Linked DNA regions of Caenorhabditis elegans. The protein of the gene in region 1 interacts with the protein of each later gene in a biochemical or structural test. Each region holds a gene or a part of one and is shown in the gene's direction. Other genes may lie near its edges. The genes, in order: unc-60, aipl-1 and unc-78.

Region 1 (7,610 bases):
GTCCATTATCCAAAAATGTTTATGGCCGGTCAAAATTTCGAAAAAAAGAGCCAAATTTTGCTAAAATCTGAATTTTCTCAAACTTTTCTTTGTCACAGCCGCTGGATTTTAGTTTTTCGGAAATTATCACCCTTTGATCCTTAATTTGGTAATTTATCTCGCGGAAATTCGTTGATTGAGACAACTTTTAGGCCGATAGGCATACAATTTTTATCATTTTTGGATGCCCATCGGCTCAAAAAGTGTCTCAATCAACGAATTTCCGCGAGATAAATTACCAAAATAAGGATTAAAGGGTGATAATCTCAGAAAAACTAAAATCCAGCGGCTGTGACAAAGAAAAGTGTGCGAAATTTCAGATTTTAGCAATAGTTGGCCATTTTTTCGAATTTTGGCCGGCCATGAAAAATTTTTGGAAATTTTTTGTGAAGTCTCATTATGAAATTCGGTGATTTTGGACCAGTTTTTGTCTATTTAAGCAAAATACTACAAACTCTACTCCCCTTTTAAATTAAATCGTCCGAGTTTTCTTGGACTATTTAATATTTTTGCATACGAAAAACACTGTCTTGAAATACACTGTCAAATTATTATACTGAGCGACTAGAAAAGATTCTAAAAATAATTCTCAAGATGACTAATTCATTTTTTTATTTCTGAAATGAGCGTGTCTTATTGTTTCGCAATTGCTAATGACTTTGACTCCTCCCACGTCGTTGGCGTTTTTGTTCGTTCCTCGATCAATTGGTGGCTCCCTCACAGTCAATTTGCCCTTTCTCTACGCCCACGCAAACCATCTGAACACTTCTATGCTAATAATGCTCATTCCGACTTGAATTCAAGGAAAATGATATGTTTTTTTTCTCACTGAACTTTCACCCGATGTTGAAATAACCCGAAAGTAGAGAATATGTCGGGGGGGGGGGGGGGGGTAGTAGATGGGCGGTGTAGTTGTCTGCGCGTACGCTAAGTGGAGATTATACGCTTCGACTGTCTCGTAGCACCGAGTTCCTTTCGCTAATTACTCTCATCAACTATTGTTTCCACTGTGTGTGTGTCCTCCTCCGGGTATGTCCTTTTCGTTTGCCCCTTGTTCAAAGCCGAAATCGATGTTGTTTTCAATATTTTTAACGTCTGGAAACAATTCAAAAATTGTTCCAAACCCTCTCCGTCATTCTCGTACCGCCATGCGCTGACTCATACACCGTCGTCGTCCTCCTCGTTGTTGTGTACAACACAAAAACGGGTGGTTTTCTAATCTTTCTCCTTCCCAGTTGATACCATAGTGTATATAACGTACTCCTCGATGCTGAATGATGATTCATACGATCAATAGCAGTGCATTCCTACTTTTTTCTAATTTTGTCAGTACTTTCTAGAAACTGAAGCCCGGGAGAAAGTGCAAACGGATTCACCACTAGGTAGTCCGTATCTGTTTTTTTTTGGTATTTCGGGCAGAGCAAGTAAGGTCGGGGGACAATGGTGTGTGTGTTGCACATGGCGAATGTTTGCTCGGTTCTCGCTATTTTCTCTCTTCACTCTCTTCTCTACCAGCTCTTCAGATCGTTCACTCTCTCTCTCCGGGAGGGGACGGAAAAGATGACCATTCGGGCTGGGTGCTGCTGCTGCTGTTGCTGCCCGTTTCATTTTCTCTCCGCTCCCTCTCCTCTACTTGTCACTATCTCGCTCTATCTCTTCGTCTCTTCATTTTCCTCGTGTCCCTCGTCCTCGTCTATCTAAGCGGACGCGCTCGCACAGGCAAGCACTCTGACTGGCGGTTGTGTTGTTGGGGCTGGGGGTTAGGCCGAAGGGACGGCCCCGTCTCTTTTTTTTTGCGTCTTTCTCATCCTGCTTCTGTGCCAATCACAATGGACTTTCTTGGCTCTTGTTCTCTCTCTCTCTCTGTTTCCATCACTTTACCAATTTACCTCACACTTATGACCCTTATGACTCTTATCTGGGTTACACTTTTTCTTTGTGTTGAGCTTCTTCACTATCGTTTTTCCCTTCTCGTGATTCGATTATTGATTGATTAAAATCATTTTTTCTTGCAGGAAACTCAACTTGATTCTATTTCCCCACCACAAACCAACAACAACATCTCAAAATGGTGAGTTTGAGATTTTAATTCGCTTCAATATTTTTAAATTGAAAGAAATTTGGAATGTTATGTTTGGCGTGTTTTTTTTTCATTGAATTTCCAAAATTTCACACTAAAATGGAATGGTTTTCTCTTCTTTTTGCCTAACCTAACCTAACCTATGTGTGCCTGTTTTCTAGAGTTCCGGTGTCATGGTCGACCCAGATGTGCAGACATCTTTCCAAAAGCTCTCCGAGGGACGCAAGGAGTACCGCTACATCATTTTCAAGATCGACGTGAGTTTTTAAAAAATAAAATCTGAATCAGATCAATTTAAAAAAATTTCGTGCCACTTTTTGTTTTTTTTGTTGAAAAATTTGAAAAATCCTCAAATTAATTGTTTTAGATGAACATTATTGATTTCCCTATTAAATTGCAACATTTTCCAGGAGAACAAGGTGATCGTGGAAGCCGCGGTGACTCAGGATCAGCTCGGCATCACTGGAGACGACTATGATGACTCTTCCAAGGCCGCTTTCGACAAATTCGTCGAGGACGTGAAGTCTCGAACCGATAATCTGACCGATTGCCGCTACGCCGTTTTCGACTTCAAGTTCACGTGCAGTCGTGTTGGAGCCGGCACGAGCAAGATGGACAAGATCATCTTCCTCCAGATGTAAGCGCTTGATCCTATTGGTGAATTATTGTACCATCTAATTTTTTTTCCAGCTGCCCAGATGGTGCTTCTATCAAGAAAAAGATGGTGTACGCTTCGTCCGCCGCCGCCATCAAGACTTCTCTCGGAACCGGCAAAATCCTTCAGTTCCAGGTGAGAAATCTCGATAATTTTTACAATTAGAAAAAAAAAATCAAATTATTAAAATTTCAGGTGTCTGACGAGAGCGAGATGAGCCACAAGGAACTCCTCAACAAGTTGGGCGAGAAATACGGAGATCACTAGATACACGGGTCTCTTCCGAAGTCGTCGTCGCCGTCACATCCTCGATTATTCTCGTCTCTGTCTGTCGCATTTTCTCCATTGCTTGATGATTTCTGATCGTTTTCACGTGTGCTCTTTGAATGTGCTAGTGCGTTGTTGTGGTGCTTTTTTCTTACCAACCTCACTACTTGTTCATTTTTTTTGGTGTCCTCAAAGAATCATCCGTTGAAAACATGACTGCGGCGATGTGTTTCGATGATGTTTCTTAAGCGTCTTCTTCACATTTTCACCTCTTAACATTGCTAATTTATCCTCTATTTTTATCTGTTTTTTTCCTGATTGACGATTGTTTTTTTCCTGGGGGCAAGTGATTGTGTGTGCCCACTAATTTAATACAATGTGCCGGGTAACCTTCCGTACTATGAAGAAGTTGAGACATCCCCTCAGATTCTCAGTATCTTTATTGTTTAGTGAAATGCGTGGTAAATCCCTTCTCATTTACGATTATATTCTCTCTCTCTTGTAAAGCTTTCTATATTTATATAGTGTACTTTCCCCCACTGGAACTCTCAATCTCCATCTCCTCACCATTCTTTTTTTTTCAAATCTTCTATTGCGTATTCATTTCCCTTCTTACTTTTTTCCCACCCTGCCCGATCCCCTTGAAGAATCACCCACCAAACCGTTCATGTGCTGTGCTTTTTAAGATTATCACAATGAAATCAAGTTTGGAGTTTCTAACAATTGTTTTAACACGCGTGGAAAATTTTGAAAGGAAACAAAAATTGACATAAAAACCAGAAAAATATTACAAACACCTTTGAGTACAGGCTTCCGGAGTCAAAGTTGATCCATCCTGCAAGAACGCCTACGATCTTCTCCACAACAAGCATCAGCACAGCTACATCATCTTCAAGGTGAGTTATTCTGCGAAAAAAAAAATGCGTACTGCACAACACATTTGACGCGCAAAATATCTCGTAGCGAAAACTACAGTAATTCTTTAAATGAGTACTGTAGCTCTTGTGTCGATTTACGGGCTCAATTATTGCAATTTTCTTTATAAATGGTTTCCGTGAATCGACACTAGCGCTACAGTAGTCATTTAAAGGATTACTGCAGTTTTCGCTACGAGATATTTGATGTATTTTGCGCGTCAAATATGTTGTGCAGTACGCATTTTCAGAGTTTTCTGTTCCCGTAATAATTAAATAATTTTCTAAATTTGATTTTTTAAAAATTTAAAAAATAAATAAATCGAAAAAAAATAAATCAAAAAATAATCAGATTGACAAAAATGACACCGCCATCGTCGTCGAGAAGGTCGGAGAGAAGAATGCTCCGTACGCCGAGTTCGTTGAGGAGATGAAGAAGCTTGTTGAGGACGGAAAGGAGTGCAGGTAAGCCTAAGCCTGAGACTAGGCCTGAGCCTAAACCTGAGCATAAGCCTAAGCCTAAGAATAAGCCTAAGCCTAACACTAAGTCTTAGTCTGAGCCTAAATGTCGCGTGTATTCTACGCGAAAAGTTGTGTTTTTGCGCCAAAATACGGTGCTAGGTCTCGACACGACTAATTTTTACTAGTTAAATGAATGCAGAGAAAAGAAGGTGTGCGTCTTTAAATAGTACTGTAATTTCAAAATTATTGTTTCCATGGAATGTTTTATTATCGAAAAAAATTCACATAAATATTAAGAAACTGTGAAACATTAATGAAAATTTGGCAGCAATGGAATTTTGAAACTACATTACTCTTTAAAGGCACATATGATTTTGAATTTAACAAAAAAGTTTCGTGTCGAGACCAGTTGGTGCAAAAAAACCGCAAAATTTCTTGTCTGGATAATTATCAAACAACAAAACTCGTCGGAAATCTCGATTCAATTCATCCTTTTTTGCAGATATGCTGCCGTCGACGTCGAGGTTACTGTCCAAAGACAGGGAGCCGAGGGAACCAGCACACTCAATAAGGTCATCTTCGTTCAATAGTGAGTTTCAACATTGAAATATTACACATACACGTGGTGCCAGGCTGTCCCATTGCGGTTTGATCTAGAAAAAATGCGCGATTTTTTTCCCAAAGAAAATTTGACGTCAGCACGTTCTTAACCATGAGAAATCAGTTGAGAACTCTGCGTCTCTACTCCGGCTTTTTTTGTAGATCTACGTAGATCAAGCCGGAATGCTCGAAATTGTCCGCATTTTTGCGTTAAAAAAACGGTAACACTATAATTTCGCAGCAACGAATGTTTTAAATTACTGTACTCTTTAAAGGCGCATACCTGTTTGAATTTAACAAAAATTTGTCGTGTCGAGACCAGATAGCGTAAAATTTCGCGTCTGGAAAATCTAGAAAATCGTCCAAACAAAAAACCAAGAAAGTTGATAAAAATGAACGAATTTACTGAAATTCTCGTTGGAAAAGTCGGCCATCAACTAGGAAGCCTCGGCCACCAAAAAGTCGGCCATAAACTAGAAAAATTCGGCCACCAAAAAACCGGCCATCAACTAGGAAACCTCGGCCATCAACTAGAAAACTCGGCCATCAACTAGAAAACCTGGGCCATCAAAAAGTCGGCCATCAACAAGGAAAAGTCGGTCATAAACTAGAGAAACTCGGCCATCAACTAGGAAAACTCGGCCATCAACTAGAAATACTCGACCAGCAACTAGAAAAACTCGGCTATCAACTAGGAAAACTCGGCCACCAAAAAATCGGCCATCAACAAGAAAAAGTGGGCCATCAACTAGAAATCCTCGGCCACCAAAAAGTCGCCCATCAACTAGGAAAACACGGCCATCAACTAGAAAACTCGACCATCAACTAGAAAACCTCGGCCATCAAAAAGTCGGCCATTAACTAGAAAAAGTCGGCCACCAAAAAGTCGGCCACCAACTAAAAAACCTCGGCTATCAACTAGGAAAACTCGGCCACCAAAAAGTCGGCCATCAACTAGAAAAACTCGACCATCAAAATGTCGGCCATCAACTAGAAAACCTCGGTCATCAACTAGAAAACCTCGGCCATCAACTAGGAAACCTCGGCCATCAACTAGAAAAACTCGGCCACCAAAATGTCGGCCATTAACAAGAATCTCTTTAAAAAAATTTCCATGTATTTCCACATTCCACTTCCCAAACTCCTATTTTCAGCTGCCCAGACAACGCCCCAGTCCGCAGACGTATGCTCTACGCCTCCTCGGTCCGTGCTCTCAAGGCGTCCCTCGGACTCGAGTCCCTCTTCCAAGTACAGGCCTCCGAGATGTCGGACCTCGACGAGAAGAGCGTGAAGAGCGACCTGATGTCCAACCAAAGAATCTAAGCCTGTCCAATTGAATCCCAATCACAAATTACAATTTCTTTCTGGTACTACTAGTCTCTCGGACCATCCAAGCCCGTCAAAAATGTGCCTTTAACTTTTTTTTTCTTGTTAAATTATGACTTTTCTTGTCTGTAATTCTGATTTCCCATTTTCTCTGGAATTTTTAAAAAAATATTTTTCTTTTAATAAATAAATCCGTTCCTTCAGAACATGTCAGTTGTTGTTTTCCATGACGTCCAGACGACAAAAAACAATAAAATCAATTACCCATTTTTTCCAGAGCCCCCAAGAGCCCTCAGATGTTATAGAGCACAACACACCCCCCGAGAGCATCTCTTTACTTTTGACCTGATGCCACTCGACTTGTGCTCACCGGCTCTCGGAGCACAAGCAGGAGCACAAGTTATGCTACTTTTCTTCGAATTTTGTTTGTTTGTTTCGAAACTTGAAACGAACAGCACGAAACATTCTTTTCTTTGGATAATTTTTAAAAATCGATTTTTTTTCGAAATCCAACAGAGTTGGCCCACGGGGTTCTGGCCTTCCTCATTGAATTTTTCGCGCTCCATTGACAATCGCCAGCCAAACAACGCCTGGGGAAAGTCGTGTACTCCACACGGACAAATGCATTTAGAAGTAAAATTTCTCACGACGCGACACGCAACGCGCCGTAAATCTACCCCAGATATGGCCGAGCCAAAATGGCCTAGTTCGGCAAATTCTTCCATTTCAATTTATTAGGGAAGCCAGAAATCCGTGAGTTGGCTTAGTTTTGTTCAAAAATCAGTTTTCGTAGTGTTCTGAAAACGGAAAAAAACATCGCGTTCCATTTGTTTCCCGTTGTTTTTAGATTCGTTTTTTTTCGCAAAAAATAATGGGAATCCTTTTCAAATAAATGTTCTCCAGATGCGGTTTTTCTGCATCATTTTTTCTAAGAAGAACACATAAATCTGATGTTTTTTCTGAGTAGATTTCAAGGTTTTTTTTTGCCATTTTGTGGGTTTACTTTTTTCTCTTGTCATCCTCCAGCCAAAGCCTAAGCCTGAGCCTAAGCCTAAGCCTAATTCTAAGCCTAAGCCTAAGCTTGAGCCTATGCCTAAGCCTAAGCCTAAGCCTAAGCCTAAGTATAAGCCTATGCTTAAGCAGAAGCCCAAGTCTAAACCTATGCCTAAGACCTAGCCTATGGCTAAGCCCAGGCCTAAGCCTAAGCCTAACACTAATTTCTTCCTGACTATTTCATCAAAGAAAACTATTGAAAAATGGTTGGCCG
Region 2 (5,600 bases), about 14 Mb from region 1:
ATGATGACTGGTACTGCAATTCAATTGGGTACTGTTGTTGGTTCAGTCGTAGCTATGCCTCAGATTTTTGGGACTGATGATTTATGGTAAGTTTTTTAATTCTTAAATGTAGACTGTAAGTTTGGGCAATGAAAAAGTAAATAGCGGCTGGCGGAGCAAATTGATGATTGCCCTACGTTAATTGAGATGTTCTAGAATAGGCATATTCGAAAATTTTTGGAACCGCAGATTGTAATTGCAAAATAAGTTTTGAGGTATTTGAATTAATCTCGATAATAACAATTAATTATATAACATTCAGGTGGGTTATTTATGCCACTGAAATTGGAATTATGCTAGTTTTTGGAGCTGCCCTCCCATTTTTCCCCGAATCACCTGGATACTTGATTCAAAAAGGATCATTGGAAAGCGCCACGATATCAATCAGTTTTTACTATAAATGTGAGAAAGAGGAAGCTGATAAACATGTTAAAGAAATCCAAAAAGAGCAGATGAACTCCACCAAGTGAGTTATTGGAATTGTGTAAGTAATTAGTAATTAGGAATTTTAAATTTCAGAAAATTCACAATGCTAGATGTAATCCAACAGAAATCACTTCGCGATAAAGCTTTCGTCGGTGCTGTTGTGACGTTTGTAATGTCTTTCAGTGGAGTTGCAGTTATCAGTGCTTTTGCTTTTGAGATTCTAGTAAATACTGGTTTGAACGTTTTGCAAGCATCACTGGCAAATGACGCAACCACGATTGTTAGTGTGGTAAGTAACAGACCCGAGTAGGCACAAAATAGGCAGGCAGATAGGCAGAAAAAAGGTAGTTAATTTAAAGAGTTATAAGCCGTCAAAGTAGAGCAGTTGGGTATAAGTCTAATAAAGAAAATATGATAAACATGGTAAGTTAGATTTTTTTTGCTCACAATGAATTTAACCGTTCTAATAAAACTTCTGTACAAAAAAAAATAATTTTTAATATTTCATAGATCTCATCAGTACTTGCCATTGCAATAATTGATAAAAACGGACGACGCCCACTACTTCTCATTTCACTTGCAGGAATTCTGATTTGCAACTTGATAATATTCGGATTAATGTTCACTTTTGATAAGTTTGGGGTATGAAATATAATTATACCATTACCCTCTAAATCCTACCAAATCTCAGAACCAAGTTCTCGGCTTCATTCTCATTTTCTTTATCTGCATTTTTCAATTTTTCTTCGCTCTAGGCCCGGGTCCATTAAGTTATTTTATCAATGCAGAACTTGTTGGTCAAGATGCTCGAAGTGCAGCACAAAGTTGGGCAAGCGTGGTACAAATGATCTCGTGAGTCGGTGGTGACATTAAATCTTCAAACAAAAGCTTTCAGACAATTTTCAATTATCACTGCATTCCTGCCCATGAAAAATCAACTCGGAGAAGCCTGGTCCTATTTGATTCTTTTTGTTGCTCCGGTGGCAGTATCTCTGGTTTTCCTGTATTTTTCACTTCCAGAGACCAAGAATAAAAGTCCAATTGAGGTGATTAAGAACGTGACGTATAATTTTAAAGAAACAAGGGTCTTGCAAAGATCGCGCTGAAACCCATTTTTTAATTATTTTTAATTAAGTATAAAAATTTCAAATTTCCAGGTGGAAGAAGCCATTGAGGAATTACCAAAGTTGCCATTATGCCGATCAACTCGTTCGAATTCAATCAAACCTATTTAATAGTTTCATGGTATTTATAATTTCCTATTTCATCGATGATCTTCTGCCTTAACATAAAATATGAATCATGATTGTTTTTCAACAGTTTTGCGTTTGGTCTTTAAACTCGCGATCCTCGTGGTCATTCCTCATATTCAATATTTAACATTGTTACTTTTTTTTTGTTTTAACGGCTTCAAATATGATATTTTTCTCAATCTTTTGTGATGATAACATTCTTAATTGTGGAAAATTAATGTTCATATACTTTTTGCCGAAAGTTCCTTTCTACTAAAAATTCACACCAGTGGTGACTACATTCAAACACGCTCTGTTGCTACGCGAGAGAGATTCGAGACGACAGAGAAACGGGCGCTAATGAAATATTTTCAATCTTTTTTCCATTAATTTTCCCATTTTTTTTCGATTTCACGCGACAATTGTTTAATTTTATTTAAAAATCCGAATTTTAATTCATTACTAATTTCTCAGAATGTCGGAATTCTCGCAAACCGCCGTATTTCCATCATTGCCACGGGCTGCCAGAGGAGTTCCTGTTATTCTGGGTGAGTAAGACGCGGGAATAGGGGTGGCGATAGGTCGCAACAGGGCGCCCTGGCTATTTCACAGCACCTTCACGAACAATCCAATCAGAATTTTGAAGATGAAAATTAAATTAGCATGGTTTACTTACTCGAATTTTCTTTCGAGGTCGAAACTTGATACATTAAGGTCGCTAGTAGGGGTGGCGTTAGGTCGCAACAAGGCACCCTATCGCCACCCCTACGCGGGAAAACGAAATAATTGTCTCATTTTCAGGTAGCTCTCCAGCCGGCGATAAAATCCTTTATTGCAATGGGAATTCGGTCTTCACAATTCCCATCGACAGCCTCAACTCTGCCGATATCTACACAGAGCATGCTCACCAGACAACAGTCGCCAAAATATCTCCGACAGGCTTCTATTGTGCTTCTGGCGATACTCAGGGAAATATTCGGATCTGGGATACTACTCAATCAACTCACATTCTTAAACATACCATCCCAGTTTTCTCTGGACCAGTAAAAGACATCGCATGGGACAGTGAGAGCAAAAGAATTGCGGCGGTCGGCGAAGGAAAGGAACGATTCGGGCACGTATTCCTTCTTGATACTACAACATCAAACGGAAGTTTGACAGGACAAAGTCGGACCATGAACAGTGTGGATTTTAAGCCAACGCGCCCGTTTCGTATCATTTCTGGATCAGATGATAATACCGTTGCTATCTTCGAAGGCCCTCCATTCAAGTTCAAGCATGTTAGTATTATATCGCCTGAATTAGTAAACTATATTTAAATCCTTTTTTTCAGACTTTTGACCACCACAAAAAGTTCGTTCAGTCTACCAGATACAACAATGATGGCTCGCTCTTTGCCTCAACGGGAAGCGATGGAACTGTCGTTTTGTACAATGGAGTTGACGGAGAAAAAGTCGGAGTTCTCGAAGATGCCAAGGGAGTCGCCCACACAGGAAGCATATTTGCTTTAGCCTGGTCTCCGGATCAATCAAGAATTGCTACAGCTTCAGCTGACAAGTCTGTGAAAATCTGGGATGTTTCTGCAAGAAAGCTGGAGAGAACTATTGTGATGGGATCGAAGATCGAGGATCAACAGCTTGGAATTGTCTGGACAAAGAGTGCGCTGATCACGGTATCTGTCAGTGGATTCCTGAATTTCTTGAATCCAGACGATGGAAGCGTCGAAAAAATTCGTCAGGGACATAATAAAGCGATTACAGCTCTTTCGAAGAGCTCTGATGGGAAATTCTTGTTCAGTGCCGATGCGGAAGGCCATATTAGTGAGTGAAGTTGGGATTACTTGACCGAGGTTTCACAATATGCTAAAATTAACGTGCCAATTTTAGCTGAAATAGTCAATTTTCCCTACCTTTCCGTGCTATAGCGGTCTGAATTAGATTTTATCGAAATATCCTTTCTTGCATAAACTACCAAAATATGCATGAAAATATTGTAATTAAATGAAAGCTAATTTCCGACAGCTGCGACACGAAAATGTTGGACAAATTGATGATTTTTGCTGAAATTAGCTTTTTTTTTCAATTCGAGCACATTTTGGGTCTATACGAGCAAAATACACACCTTAATGAATAACAAGTTTTTCTTTATTTCAGCTACCTGGGAAATTTCAAGCGGAACTTCTTCTCGAAAATCTCCACATACCACAATGATTACTGGTGCCCAGACGTCTTCCAATGGCGACTTATTCACTGTTGGTTGGGATGATCAATTGAAGATTACTGATGGATCCGGAGACACGAAAAGCTTCAAATTGCCGTCTCAACCATGTGGACTAGAAGTTTCTGATGACTTGGCAATTGTTGCATGTTACAAGCACGTCGTCGTTCTGTCACGGGGAACGCCAACGGAAAATCCAATTGAATTCCATTCGACTTGTGTGGCGTTTTGTGCGGAGAAAAGTCTGGTGGCCGTTGGTGGAAAAGATGCGAAGGTTCATGTGTACAAACTGAATGGAGATGGACGGCTCGAGGAGTTGAAGAAGATTGAGCACAGTGCGGAAATCACCGCTGTCTCATTTTCCGACGATGGGGAATATCTAGCGGTCACTGATTTGGCTCGAAAGGTGATTCCCTACTCTGTCTCCACGGATTTTTCCGTCACCTCTCCAAACTCGTGGACTTTCCATACTTCGAAAGTACTGACAGTCGCATGGTCCCCTGACAATCAACGTCTTGCCACTGGCTCCATCGACACCAGTGTCATTATCTGGGACATGAAGAAGCCAGGCGAACATCCGGTTATTATTAAAGGTAATATTGAAATTGTCTTGCTAGTATATGAATAACGTTTTCAGGAGCCCATCCAATGTCATCTGTGAATGTGGTCCGCTGGCTCGATGAGACTACGGTGGTGTCTGCTGGACAAGACTCGAACATCAAATTTTGGAATGTTCCACTCTAGTTTTCATGTTTATATGTTTAAAATTGCATAATTTATTTTTGATTACCTATTTTTCTGCCAAAAGATGCACGTGATTTAACAATTTTTATTTACAATTCGAATGAAATTTCAATGAAGGCTTTTGGAACAAAAAAAAAATTTAAAATAAAATAAGGGAATCTATAGAACTTACAATTAGTCATAAAAACAGTATAATTAATAGTTTTAACAACAGTATCAATCCGTGCAAACTACGTTCATATCAATTAGTATGAGAACTGTTTCCCAAATACATTGTTCTACATGTGGAGACCAATCTGATACGACCAATTGATAAGAGTTTTCCCACGGTGATAAGATAGTTTAAGTTGAGACATTATCCACCCAGAAAGTGAAAGATGACTCATTTGAAATGAGAAATGTGAGTGAATATATAAAAAATAACCTTCTCGAAATTGATGACCACTTTACCTTTTTCAAAAAATGAATCGAACGACTGTTATCACTTTTGGAATATATTCAAGAGATGATATTCCAGCTATTTTGAACGGAAATTTTCGAGATAATAACAGCAACATCGAAGATGATCGCAATAAGTTGATGAAAATCAACTTCCGAGCTCGCCACATTCCATATTTCTTCACTGGATTCCTAATTGGAATATTTTTCACTTTTCTGGCAACTTTTCATTGTAAATAGTGCAGCATTTGAATTATTGTTTCTAATTTATTACTATTCGGGTTCAATTTTATTCGCTTTCTGTTGAGTAACTTTATAGTTGAAATAAACATACGTAATCTATTTACATAGATTCTTTCAAATACCACAATTTCAAAATACAAACGGGTTCTTATCGCTTCGTGCTTTTTTATTAGATTCAATTTGTTTTCATAACGTGCATCAAATGTTATATTACGGGAACACAAAACTCTGAGACTACGTATTGCACAACATATTCGACGC
Region 3 (5,766 bases), on another chromosome or scaffold:
GTTGTGTTCTTGCATTTTGAATAATTGTAGATACCTAATCGAAAAACGAGCTGTCAAATGACATGCTTATCTGAAAATTTGTATTCTATAAAATGTATATATTAATACTTACAACAACGGAGTTTTTAATTTAAATGTCGCACGTCTAAACGTAACCAGTTACATGTAATGATTTTGCCAGAACTGATTCAATTTATTGTTAAACGTATTGTATTTTAACTCAAAATCTTTCTTCACAAACTTTAAAAAAAAACTCAAGTGTAAGTTTATTCATTTTTCCAGTGTCTCATTCCAATGCTCGTTGCTACCAAGGTCGCCTCGTATGAAGCTGAAGAAGCGAACAATATCTTCGTTGTCACCCCTGAAAACTTTGCCAAACAAGCTGTCAGAATTATCGGGACTAATTGGGAAATCACAACGGGCTGTGTGCAACATGATGTTCAGGTAAAATCAATGGTGTCTTAGTGGTCTGAATATTGCAAAATTTCAGGTTGCCCTTGGAACATTGTTCTCCTTTTGGTTTTTCAAAGTACTTTTCGTCCCTGTTGTTATGCTCGGAGTTCATAAGCATCGTGTTGCCTCTTATCAAGCGAAGAACTCGAGAAAGAATAATTAGAGTTTTTATCATTTCACGTTTATCCATTTTCGTTCATTTTTATCATGATTTTTTTTTATTGAATGCTATTTTTCAGATAAAAAAGTTTTCGTGTGAACTTAATTTTTTAGAATCTTTTTTTTAAAGTTGATCACCGATTGAAGCTTTTTTTGCCAGAAAAAACATTTCAAATTTTTCCCACTGGCCATACTCCACAGAATTGCTGCACACACTTGAATCCTGCAAATATGTTGGCTCTAGAGAAAGAAAAACAGTTTTAAAAAATTAAATATACAAATTTTTATGATCTACTTGTTTTTCGAATATTCCTATTGAAACATCTCGAGAAGCCAAGTTGTCAGCAATTTTTTATAAGCTTTTAGTATGTAGTTTGGATTGTAGTACTCTTTATTCAAAAATACTTTTGGACTTAAATAATAACATGTCTTTTTTATATTAATGAATATATTGATATTGAAAATTTAGCTCTTCCGGTGACTCACGGGGAATCATATTCTAGTTTGCACAAATTCATACGAGAAAAGTAGAAAAGGGAGGAAAAAAATCGTTTTTTGTTGCGATAAGGCTATAGTTCGCTTAGTCAGCCCCTCCTTAACGTGTATGCAACATGAATCACATGTGCTTGGTGAGTTGTCTCATCGAGAAAATGTTTCATTTCTCATTCGAAAAGTTATTGCAAAACCCGACCAATTTTCTTCTTATTTTGTTTTGTTTCGACATGTTGTTCGAGAAAAAAAAACGTGTTTTTCACCCAAAGCTTCCCCCGCAGGTTTATCGATTTTTCCAGTGACGGCTAATAATAAAAAAAGCGGTCGATGAGCAACGAGGAGTTTACAGCCGATCCTCTGTTTGCGTGAACCTCCGTTTCTCGATTGTCGAGTGATGATGGGAATCGCCGAGTCGCAGATTGAAAAACACGTCTTGCTGTCGAATGCTTTCCACCCGGCGAGCCGGCGGGCCCCGTTTTCTATTGACCTCCTCTTTCTCACAACAATAACACTTATTCACTTTTTTCACGTCACAAATAACTATCGCATTGTTCTTCGTTATCAACAAAAATAGATCGACCAAATTAATAATTTTTTCTTAGAAAAAAAAAAGAAAATTTCAATTATAAAATTCCGTCGAAAAACTTATATATTTCAAGCAAAGAAAACAGTTGTTCAATCTTTGCGGCCTAGGAAACCCCATCTCGGCCGCGCGCACTGTTTGTTAGTGACCAGTGACCGCTGTCCTTCCGCACCCTCATTAGTTCCTCACCCGCTGTCGTCACTATTTCTTCTCAATGCTCTCGTTTGATTTTATTGATTTTCTTCCTTCGATCTTTTGGATTCCTGCTCAATTTTTACAATTTTTGCAGAATGTCGGAATTCTCTCAAACCGCATTGTTCCCGTCTTTGCCTCGCACTGCTAGAGGAACTGCCGTAGTTCTCGGTGAGTTTTTATATTTTTAATTGCACGGTGATTTTACTATTTAATACTAGAAATTGAAGCCGTATGGCTGCATTATATTTTAATATGGCTGCAATACTAATTTTCAGATAAATTGTTTCTTTAAAATAATTAGTCTTCACTTGCAAAAGTAGAAAATTCTGAAAATTCATATTGCGCAACATATTTAAAGTATTTCGTAGCGAAAACCACATTGATCCTTTAAAAAACTACTGTAGCGCTTGTTGTTACTGTAGTTTTTTTGTCAATTGTGCGAAAAATAGTAAAAATCATTGATGAAATATTTAAGTATTAGTGAGACGCTTTGGCAACAGAAAAAGTGCAAAGTGAAACGGTTAATAGGAAAGCTAAATCACGTTTTACAAAAATACTTCCAGGCAACACCCCCGCTGGAGACAAGATTCAATATTGTAACGGAACATCGGTTTATACTGTACCAGTTGGAAGCCTAACCGACACCGAAATCTACACTGAGCATTCTCACCAAACGACTGTCGCCAAGACAAGCCCAAGTGGTTATTATTGTGCTTCTGGTGATGTTCATGGAAATGTTCGTATCTGGGACACAACTCAAACCACCCACATTCTGAAAACTACTATTCCGGTGTTCTCTGGACCAGTGAAGGATATTTCGTGGGATAGCGAAAGTAAGAGAATTGCCGCCGTTGGAGAAGGCAGAGAACGTTTCGGTCATGTTTTCTTGTTTGACACTGGAACGTCTAATGGAAATCTTACCGGACAAGCTCGCGCTATGAACAGCGTCGACTTCAAGCCATCACGCCCATTCCGCATTATCTCTGGATCTGATGATAATACAGTGGCGATTTTTGAAGGACCACCATTCAAATTTAAAAGTGTAAGTGATTGTAATATTGGATTAGTTTTTGAAAATTCTCCACAAAGGTTCCGCTTAAAGTATTTCGAAATACTACATGTTATTCTATTAGGTTTGTGTTAAGTTGTATTTTTTAATTCCAAAAAAGATAATTTCGCGTGAGCTTTTCGCTGAAGTTTCATGCTTTTTATTTGATAAAACATTAAAAAAAACACTGAGCGAACTTTTTTTTCAGAAACTATCAACAAATAATGTAGAAAAAAACCTGAACGTATGCGTGAATTTTTAATACTACCGGAATGCAAACATCTTTTCAGTAGCTTATTGTCAGTGCAACTCTAACAGAGATTTAATTTTGATAGAAGGAAACTTGTTTTAAATGACTCGAGTGTTCCAAATACGTTTTCAGACAAAAAACCAGTTTCAAATTTATTTTCCAATTTTTCCAGACTTTCGGAGAACATACGAAATTCGTCCACTCTGTGCGCTACAACCCTGATGGCTCTCTGTTCGCCTCGACTGGAGGAGATGGAACCATTGTGTTATACAACGGAGTTGATGGAACAAAAACCGGAGTCTTTGAAGATGACTCTTTGAAAAATGTCGCTCATTCTGGATCTGTGTTTGGCCTTACCTGGAGCCCGGATGGTACAAAAATCGCATCGGCTTCTGCTGATAAGACCATTAAAATTTGGAATGTGGCTACATTAAAGGTTGAAAAGACTATTCCCGTTGGAACTAGAATTGAAGATCAACAACTTGGAATCATTTGGACCAAGCAGGCTCTTGTGTCTATCTCTGCTAATGGATTTATCAATTTTGTCAATCCAGAATTGGGAAGTATCGATCAGGTTAGATACGGACACAACAAGGCGATTACTGCACTTAGCAGCAGCGCTGATGGAAAAACTCTTTTCAGTGCTGATGCTGAAGGACATATTAGTGAGTAGTTTCAGTGCTTCGAAATTTAAAACTTGTTTTCAGACTCCTGGGATATTTCCACAGGAATATCAAACCGCGTGTTTCCGGATGTTCACGCCACAATGATCACCGGAATCAAGACAACCAGCAAGGGTGATTTGTTCACCGTCAGTTGGGATGATCATCTGAAGGTTGTTCCTGCCGGAGGTTCTGGAGTCGATTCTTCCAAAGCTGTTGCCAACAAATTATCTTCGCAACCTCTCGGTCTCGCCGTTTCCGCAGATGGAGATATTGCAGTTGCTGCTTGCTATAAGCATATTGCAATTTACTCTCATGGAAAGCTCACGGAAGTACCAATTAGCTACAATTCTTCCTGTGTGGCATTATCGAACGATAAGCAATTTGTTGCTGTTGGTGGACAAGACTCGAAGGTCCATGTGTACAAACTCTCTGGAGCAAGTGTCTCTGAAGTTAAAACAATTGTCCATCCTGCTGAAATCACATCTGTCGCATTTTCGAATAATGGAGCTTTCCTCGTGGCAACCGATCAATCACGAAAGGTTAGTTTTTGAAAAAAAATCATTTCTATTATAGATTTCAAAATTCAGGTTATCCCGTACTCTGTTGCGAACAACTTCGAGCTAGCTCACACAAACTCCTGGACTTTCCATACCGCCAAGGTTGCATGTGTTTCCTGGTCACCGGACAATGTCCGTTTGGCGACCGGTTCCTTGGATAACAGCGTTATTGTATGGAACATGAACAAACCATCTGATCATCCGATCATCATTAAAGGTAAATATTTCTCTATTAATTTAACACATTTAACAACATTTTTATAGGTGCTCATGCTATGTCGTCTGTCAATTCGGTAATTTGGCTCAACGAAACTACAATTGTGTCGGCCGGACAAGATTCGAATATCAAGTTCTGGAATGTACCTTTTTAAGTCGAGAAGCTTTTTGATTGCCCTCTAAGTATCCTTAAAATTATATTGATTTTCATAATTATCACTAATTTTCGTGTTTACTGCAAGCACTATCATCTCCTTCGAAGCCTTAAATACACGCGTAAATAAAAACTATTGGTGCAAAGCTGTGTTTCGATTGACATCCTTACAACATGTGTATTTGTTTTCTAGAAGTGATGAGAAAAAAAATCATTCTAGTGAAAATGCTTTATTTAATAGAAAATTAATAAAACATATGAAATCTAATAGGCAACGCAGGCGGTTGGGATCTTGACAGACTCAACGAAGGAGACTGGGAAATCGACCAACTCGGCAACAGTTTGCTCACGAGCTTCCTTCAAGAAACGACGAGCGTTCTTGCTGTGGCGTGGCATGCAAGTGAAACGGATCTTCTTGTTGGAAGTCTTCTCGGATTCGAGTCCACGGCGGCACTCAGAGACTGGCTCGATGGAGAAGCAGACGCGGTTGGAGAACTCCTTGATGAGGGTCTTCTTGACGAGTTCTGAAAAATATGTATTTTGTTAAAACTACACATCATTCAGCCTTAGACTAACCCTTCTCAGTTTCCTTCTCATCGTAGTTGCTCTCGTAGTCGGAGCTGCTCTCGTAGTCGGACTTCTTCTCTTCTCTGTTCCATTTGTTTCTGTAGTTCTTCTTCTCGGAGATGCGGTCGTTCTCAACTTCGCATTCCTGAAAATGAAATTTACATTCAGTTCATTGAAAAAATCTGATTACCTCATTCTTGAGAAGGTAAGACCGGTGGAATTCCTCAACATCCTCAGTTTCGTAGTTGTCAGCGGTCATGAACTCATTGTCTCTCTCACCGTCATTGTTTCCGCAAAGTCCGCAAAGTTGGTTTTGTGAAGCAACGGATGGCATGTTGGTCTTGACAGTGTATCCATCGAAACGAACCTCTCCTTGTGGAAGACGAATAACAATAAGGTTATCTCCAAGAATTTCGATACTGAAAAA

What was found.
Region 2: of the proteins of unc-60 (region 1) and aipl-1, one has a biochemical effect on the other in vitro, tested with the Caenorhabditis elegans proteins (one study listed by BioGRID).
Region 3: of the proteins of unc-60 (region 1) and unc-78, one has a biochemical effect on the other in vitro, tested with the Caenorhabditis elegans proteins (one study listed by BioGRID).

Annotation. Positions count from the first base shown.
Region 1 is NC_003283.11:1,473,032-1,480,641, forward strand, and holds unc-60 (Actin-depolymerizing factor 2), read left to right. Parts: upstream 1-2,054; 5' UTR 2,055-2,107; coding exon 2,108-2,110; intron 2,111-2,280; coding exon of another isoform or gene 2,281-2,376; intron 2,377-2,529; coding exon of another isoform or gene 2,530-2,756; intron 2,757-2,809; coding exon of another isoform or gene 2,810-2,909; intron 2,910-2,969; coding exon of another isoform or gene 2,970-3,041; exon of another isoform or gene 3,042-3,753; intron 3,754-3,850; coding exon 3,851-3,937; intron 3,938-4,307; coding exon 4,308-4,420; intron 4,421-4,919; coding exon 4,920-5,006; intron 5,007-6,171; coding exon 6,172-6,340; 3' UTR 6,341-6,545; downstream 6,546-7,610. Other genes in the region: F53E2.2 (Actin-depolymerizing factor 1, isoforms a/b), read left to right, coding at 2,108-2,110, 2,281-2,376, 2,530-2,756, 2,810-2,909, 2,970-3,041. UniProt on the Caenorhabditis elegans protein: Depolymerizes growing actin filaments in muscle cells; required for the assembly of actin filaments into the functional contractile myofilament lattice of muscle.
Region 2 is NC_003283.11:15,133,373-15,138,972, reverse strand, and holds aipl-1 (Anaphase-promoting complex subunit 4-like WD40 domain-containing protein), read left to right. Parts: upstream 1-2,171; 5' UTR 2,172-2,172; coding exon 2,173-2,245; intron 2,246-2,498; coding exon 2,499-2,977; intron 2,978-3,030; coding exon 3,031-3,517; intron 3,518-3,850; coding exon 3,851-4,507; intron 4,508-4,551; coding exon 4,552-4,658; 3' UTR 4,659-4,775; downstream 4,776-5,600. Other genes in the region: K08F9.1 (Major facilitator superfamily (MFS) profile domain-containing protein), read left to right, coding at 1-86, 302-505, 559-754, 976-1,107, 1,157-1,317, 1,361-1,511, 1,623-1,700.
Region 3 is NC_003284.9:3,407,826-3,413,591, reverse strand, and holds unc-78 (Actin-interacting protein 1), read left to right. Parts: upstream 1-1,976; 5' UTR 1,977-1,977; coding exon 1,978-2,050; intron 2,051-2,445; coding exon 2,446-2,924; intron 2,925-3,352; coding exon 3,353-3,845; intron 3,846-3,887; coding exon 3,888-4,384; exon of another isoform or gene 4,385-4,432; coding exon 4,433-4,619; intron 4,620-4,666; coding exon 4,667-4,773; 3' UTR 4,774-4,918; downstream 4,919-5,766. Other genes in the region: putative oxidoreductase dhs-27, read left to right, coding at 283-444, 491-616; vit-5 (Vitellogenin-5), read right to left, coding at 5,037-5,296, 5,349-5,484, 5,530-5,758. UniProt on the Caenorhabditis elegans protein: Induces disassembly of actin filaments in conjunction with ADF/cofilin family proteins. Regulator of actin organization in myofibrils.